Bombyx mori: one gene and its partner. The protein of the gene in region 1 interacts with the protein of each later gene in a pairwise test. Links are inferred from orthologs where the notes say so. Each region holds a gene or a part of one and is shown on either strand. Other genes may lie near its edges.

Region 1 (3,761 bases):
ATTTTACCCGCGACTTCATGTACGTTGAAGATGAAAATATTTTTGAATAATAGAATGTTAATGAGCTATTTAAGGTACCAAAATCACGCTTTTTAACCAACTTCAAATGAGATATATAAAAAGGTTATATTGAGCCAACCTTAAAATATAGACATATGCTGTCGCGGACTTTCTTGTTAGGACTTTTAAAAGGGAACAATTTTGTACTACATTATTTGAGCGAAACTTTAACCGTTTCCGCAGCGCACGCAGCGGAAGCCCTCAAAAGAAAAAAGAAACCGTTTTTTAAACATACTTTGTTAGTGCTCCGCTCGAATTGGTCTTAGCGTGATGTTATTTAACCTATAGCTTTCATCAATAATTGGCTATCTAACACTGAAAGACTTGTTCAAATCGGACCAGGAGTTCCTGAGATTAGAGTGTTCAACCAAACAAACATACAAACAAACTCTTCATTTTTGTCAAATACCAACATGATCTAAACTGAATTTTCCTGCTGTTTTTTTCGAGTGTTTGAACGTATTAAATGTATTGCAAAGAGGTTTGTAGAGCCTAGCTTAAAGACTAGTTCTAGTTGAAGTCAAAGGTACTAAGTGCTTAATAAAAATTCTGTCAATGAGCGACAATGATTCGATAAATCCTACTTATCACCAAGCTAAACAGATTGAACCCAAGGGTAGTAGATTTCAGGGGCTAGAAGCTTCAAAGCCCTATGGTTAAATTGTATTTCGTTTTGACGATAGATCACTGGCAAGCTCAACGTTTTGCAGCAGGATACCCTTTTATACTAATATTTGGAGGTCGGACCGGTTGATTACATTTTGCATGAACGTTGTCAGACCAAAGAAGAACCTGGTGGGATCCGTTATCAACCAATTTAAAGTACTATTTCCAAGGAATATCACAAAATTAATTGACGTAATGTTTCTCTCTGTATTAGATTTACTTATTGGGACAAATACCAAAATACAAAAATCTGGAGTGCTTATGTTCAGAGCACACTAGTTATTCCTTGCGCAGAATCATAAATAATACGATTGTTATATAAAACGCAGTGTTAAGTAAAGTACATTATATGGATATATACTTAGACTAGTAATTACAGTCTTTAAATCGCAGTTAGCAAAAATAAAATAGGTTTTACACAAAACAGGAAATGCTTATAGTACCTAATTTTACTGTACATAACTATTTCAATATTAAAACATCTAGAATAATGAAGTCAAACCGCTATTAATTTTAAACCTTAGATCATTAATTTATGGTCTAACACAAAATTTTATTTGTGAAAAAAAATCAGGTACCTACTTGAGAATAATTAGTTTGTTTGTATCTAGTTCCTTATAAAGTATTGTTCATCATTTTGACAAGTGGAAGATCAATTCAATTCGTAATTCGTAGAGTGTACTTGTATGATACAAATACGAATACATACTATATATAGTGTGTTATAGTGTTTTTAAAGGTAGAAGACCAAAACACATTATTTCGTAGTAAAAAAACATCGTAAGAACCAAACTACAAAATGTCTGCGGAGTCTGATATGGAATATTCTGACAATGACGGCGATGATTATGATTACTACGGTGAACACGAAGATTGTGATATGGAAGTAGCCGATCGCACTAAGTCAGATCCTGAGTATTTTGTGTTTTCTTGTCTGAAAGTTGAAGAAGTGGAAAAATTACTCAACGAATCTATTGAATTACTTAGTAACAGCCTTCAGATAACACCATCACTCGCCAAGGTATTCCCAATTTCAGTGTAAAGCATTCTTTACATATATAAAACGAGAATAATTGTTACTCATCATGTACACAAAGTCATAGTTCATAAAGTGGTTATTTTCACTACCAAACCAACCTTGACAATTGAACGAATATTAGACCACATTATATTATACCCCCTGCTGTGATTTTATTGCGTAGGTACCTTGAAAATTTCCTAAAGTTACTGATTTTGATTAATCCATTTTAAGGGTTTCTATGATACAAAATTGTAACAAATATGCTGATTTTCAGGTAGCACTACATGCATATGAATGGAATGCTCAAGAAATAATTAACAAATATAAAGAAAATGCAAATGAAGTGTTGGTTTTCAGTAGGGTGAAGCCACAAGTGCCTTCACAAAGTATATCAAGCAGATCAAGTTGTGCTGTTTGTGCCAGCACACCTCAACTGCACAAGTATAGTGCACTAGCATGTGGACATTATTTTTGCAACGACTGTTGGGCAATGCATTTTGAAGTTCAAATAATGCAAGGTGAGTTTTAAGATATAGCTAAAATCTGTTTTAAAATGTTTATTTTTAAGGGATTGTAGAGGATAGTAATCCTAGAACATAACATATTTGACAGATGCCTGAATCTTACTTACAAAATTTTCAAGAAAATCTTACTTAACCACGCTTGAAAGGCAAACGTGACTAAGCAACAATGCGTGAACTTTACAGTAGACTAATTTAAAGTTGAAATACCTCAAAACAAAATTTATTTTAACGAATCTAGCTAGTAGCTGTAGGATTGAAATGATTTTAATAGACCTAGAGATATATTTTTTTTGCGCTTCGAATATGGTTATTGCCTATCATTTATGTACAAAGCAGTTAATGTTGCTTAGTCATGTTTGCCTTTCAAGCATCAATATGTACAAATTCTAGACAATAATATTTTGACTGACGGTCTACTGGATAATTTCACCTACCATATGCAAGATCATCCTTATGTCATTCATTTCAAAGAATGTTGCAGTGTTACAAATGACATCTAATTTTATAGTACTTGGGATTTTGAAATAATAAACGAAAAATATAAAATAACTAATTTTTTTGTACTCCATTTTAAATTTTAGGAGTCTCAAATACAATACGCTGCATGGCTCAAAACTGTGAGGTCAGAGCGCCAGAGGATTTTGTTCTGTCACATGTTACTAAACCAGCATTAAGGGACCGATACCAACAATTCATGTTTAAAGATCATGTTAAATCTCACCCACAACTTAGATTCTGCCCTGGTCCTAACTGTCAGGTTTGTTCCATTATTTTATTGAAATCATTGGAATTTTGTGGACAACATTTTTTTATAAATCAAATTTTTTGGACTACGTATCTCATTGATTAATTGGAATGATAAAAAGTAATCCAAAATTAATACAAAAAAACCTTCTAATAATGTAAAACAATACAAGTACTCAAAATCACAAATTACAATACAGTTTTTATATTATTAATATTATTTGAGCATTTTATAATACAAAACAATAAAAATCTAACTTGCTTTCTATTTTTAGTATCCTAATTGAAATGAATTTGGCCCAAGAAAGATTGAAATAAAAAAAAAATTAATGAATATCTCTCAACAAAAATAATACAATAAAACATTTGATTTTTACATTTAGTGGATTTTTCGAGCATTCATTCGTGAAGGAGCACGCCGTGTTGAATGCAAAGGTTGTGAATCATTGACATGCTTCTCATGCGGGGCTCCTCATCATGCTCCTACTGACTGTGCTACAATTCGACAATGGTTAACCAAATGTGCTGATGACTCTGAAACTGCAAACTATATTAGTGCCCACACTAAGGTATGGAAATTTTAGAGATTAAGCAAGAGATTAAGAAAATTTGCCATATGCAAATAATATTTGACTAACTGAGTACTTCCAGACACCAGCGGTTTCTGTTTGAGTTCATACAAAAGAAGACTTCAATTGATATTTATGTTCTCATATAGGTATAGCTTGAAATCTCTAGTTTTTTAT
Region 2 (3,761 bases), on another chromosome or scaffold:
AGGATGGTATCATCTCGAATAATTTCTCAGAGCGCTCTCCATGGAACTTACAGTACAAAATATAGAGGGAACCGAAATCCCTCCGCAGACCCAGAGGTTTCAAACGATCCGTGAGAATGAGTTTATCGACAAACCGAACGGCCCTTTTCTTGATGGGAGTCAAATGGAAGAAGCTGGTATTTCGGAGCCCCGGCCCAGGTATGAGAGCAGTACTCCACGCGAGGCCGGACTTGTGCTTTATAAAACAAAAGTCTTTGCTGTCCAGGCGTGAAGTACCGCTTCGCTCTGTTGAGGACTCCCAGGATTTTAATGCCAACTTGGCTTTGCCCAACAAATGACTCCGAAATTGGACATCGCTCGAAATGTCGACCCCAAGTATCCCGATACTCTAAGGTAAGTTGCAGGGATACTCCTTGGAATTGAGGCGTCATGATAAAGAGGTCCTTCTTTGCAGTGAACGCGCAAACTTGTGTTTTTAACGGGTTGACTTTCGGACTTTCATCCCATTCGGAGACTCGCCCCAGAAAGTTCTCCACTTCAGACACAAGTTTTGAACATCCCTCTTGCACCACGCTCCGAGAGAGACTCTGAGGCCGATATATCGCGTATCACCCGTGTTGATATCCGCATAGCGATGCATGCCGTCAATTGTCATTGATATACAGGATAAGCGTGGGGAGGGCCGGACATTGTGGAACGCCAGCGTTAATGGTCATGGTCAGAGCAGTCAACGTCTACAACGACCGTGATGCTCCGCTCACCCAAAAAGCTAGCGATCCACTTGCAGAGACCCTCGGGGATTCCGTAAGATGGTAGCTTCGACAGAATTGCCCTATGCCAGACCTACCAGAATCTACTATTATATCGTTTTTGATTCTCACTATCTGACAGTTGTCTGATCTATACTTTTGTAATTTTATTTAAGTGTACAATAAGGCATTATCTTATTCTTACTCTATGGCTGTAAGATTAGATAATTATCTGAATATTGGCAAACCATACTTTAAGTATTTTTTTGTTCAAGACCTTCTTAAGCTTCGAATCTAAGGGTTTCTTAACAATAAAAAATAAAATCCGGGTTCTGTAGGCTTTGTCTTGTATTATTGAACAGTAGTGTTCCTGAATAAGATATTTATTTACAAATGAATGTACAGATGAGAGAATTCCAAAAGAGCCAATATCAGTTTTCCAGGGGTGACATAAGCAAAAACTTATTTTGTATAAACAGGTCTAAAAATTGACCTCTATTAATGAACAGAAGTACTTATTTGAAATTTTCAAAATACTGTTTAAATTGTGTTATGTGTCACAACTTGTTATAAGAATGACTAATTGTACTTTGAAAAAACTCAACAAATTGATAAGAGTGTACAGGTCCATATCCTGGAGCAGTTAGATCTCCTTCAGAGGCACTCAGGCAGTTGTTAGCAAATTCCAGCTTTTGCTGAGCCTGTGCTTTCCCTTTCTTTGCAAGTTAGAGTATTTAAAGTAATTTGGCAATGGTAGTCTGAGGCATGAGTATGTTTTGTAAAAGAGGTTATCTTGCCCATTTTGTGAATTCCTGTTCCAGATGTTAGTGTAGTGTAGTGTAATTCCGCATAAACCTCATTCTCTGAGATTGGGGTAACAAACATTTATTTTGGGTTTAATGTTATATTCACTTTTATTTAAATATTTTAGATATTCTATGGACCTAACATATCACTACTTTACCTTGATCAGTCTTGGTAGCAGGCTTCCAATTTTCTGCACTAATGATGGGCAGGCACACCTGACCCTTTTCATCAATGTTAGGGTGGTAAATCTTTGTTTTGAAACTAATTTTCGGGGGTTTGAATGGGTATTCTGCTGGAAAGTTAATCTCAATGCGGAAAGCACCTTTGTTGTAAGGTGGGTTGTCCTAAAAGAGAATATTTAGTTATTAATTAAAAATATCACTTGGGGAGTGTATAACAGACAAGATCTTTTACCTATGACAACTAAATCAAAATGTTTGTTTTACATGATAAGATTCTTTTTATTAGATACATCTGACCATGAAAGACTACAAATACATACATTATCACACAAAATTGTTCTAGCACATAACTCATGACTCACCTAACATTATACAGATATTGAAATCCATACCTAAAAGTACACCCTGATAAAGGTTGAACTTGAACACTTGCATTACAATAATGGGATACCCCTTCTTTCTGATCAGAATACATGAGACAATAATTTTGAATAAATTTAATTGAAACAATAATTTACTGATATTGTTCTTTGTGTAAATATATTAAAATATCTATAAAAAAAAATTACAAATTCACTACTAAATCAATGGTTACTTACTGGAACAATTAGACCTTGCCATGTTAAGATGTTGGACTCATCAACCTGTATGTCTCTGAAAGACTTCAGGCCAGACTGTCTGATGTCATTAAGTTCCTAAAAAATATTATTGTGTAGTATTATGACAGTAATGGGAGAAAGTTGCTGAAAATATACTTTTTTTAAATTGTTCTCGTTGTAATAACTATTTTAGGTTTGTGACATTCTCTCGATTTGATTGATTTACTACATGAAGTGTTTAAGCAGATTTGACAATTCGTACAGCAACAAACTTTCGTAATTAACTTTTAGGTTAAATTTACGGGTAAAACTATACGTGGTTTAAATATATATTCGTCCCAAAGTATCAATGAAATACAAAATATATTTTTTACTTTTTGTAGTCTTCTCGTTGCAGCCATTGTACAAAATTTGCTAAAATGTCCCAAAATATTCCAAAGGTATTCTTTTTTAAAATTCAAATCGATTAATTGTCATTCCAATCAAACACCATAATTACGCAGCACAATAGAAATTAAGAAACTGAATTAACATGGAAAACGTCAATGAATTCAGTATTTTATCACAGAAAAACGGTGATCGGTGACTGTACTAAACTTTATTTAGTGTTGCCACCTATTTTTTTTAATTAAGGGGCTATGATGCAAACCGGTCTTTTAAAATAATATGATTGTTGATTGATTGTAACAAGAGTTAAAAGAGCACTAATAAAGTTATTAAAAATATATTTAATAAAGCTATTCCCTGTTTTCCAATTACAGCACAAGAGCGCATTATGCGGCATAATGCTCAACGTTGAATGTTTCAATGGTTAATGTTTCAATCGAGTCGGTATCGATTGCGAGTATCACGCTAGAGCATTACTTTTGGGAGTGCTCGATTGTGCGAAACGTTGCTGTAGTGGAAACATTCAACGTTGAGCATTATGCTGCATAATGCGCTCTTGTGCTGTAATTGGAAAACAGGGACTATATCCAACTAATAAATCAAAATTGTTCAATGCACTATTTTCTACAAACGCTTTATTAATGATGTTGGTTTGTAGCGATTGTATTTTCTGCGATCTACGTTGTATTACAGATTAATATATTATAACTGGTGCTGATAACGTACTGGTTACTACAGCTAATGCTCATTTCTTGTTAGTCTATGCTTCTCCCTACCTTTAACCGCCATTGACTTTTTGGCGGGAGCGCGAGGAGTAAAGTTGTGTGATTTGTTTTATTTTGTCTATTTAGTGTTTCTTCAGGTTTAAATGTGTAATAACGGTGGTTTATTATCTGTTTAATGTTTGTGAAAGTGCACAAATGTGGGAAAATGAAACAAAGCCTCTGGACGTAACTTCTCGGGATCCTCCAAAAAGGCTACTGAAAAAATCTCAGTAAATGACCACCATTTTACTAAGATAATGTTTCATCCCATAT

The links. The genes of interacting proteins can lie anywhere in the genome.
Region 2: the proteins of potential E3 ubiquitin-protein ligase ariadne-2 (region 1) and UBE2L interact in a two-hybrid assay, tested with the Drosophila melanogaster proteins (2 studies listed by BioGRID). The link is inferred for Bombyx mori from reciprocal best matches to the Drosophila melanogaster genes ari-2 and Ubc10.

What each region holds. Positions count from the first base shown.
Region 1 is NC_085111.1:10,061,399-10,065,159, forward strand, and holds the start of potential E3 ubiquitin-protein ligase ariadne-2, read left to right. Parts: upstream 1-1,073; 5' UTR 1,074-1,300; exon of another isoform or gene 1,301-1,494; 5' UTR 1,495-1,525; coding exon 1,526-1,747; intron 1,748-2,021; coding exon 2,022-2,265; intron 2,266-2,852; coding exon 2,853-3,028; intron 3,029-3,398; coding exon 3,399-3,584; intron 3,585-3,761.
Region 2 is NC_085122.1:5,771,472-5,775,232, reverse strand, and holds the start of UBE2L (ubiquitin-conjugating enzyme E2L), read right to left. Parts: upstream 2,910-3,761; 5' UTR 2,739-2,909; coding exon 2,712-2,738; intron 2,434-2,711; coding exon 2,338-2,433; intron 1,901-2,337; coding exon 1,714-1,900; intron 1-1,713.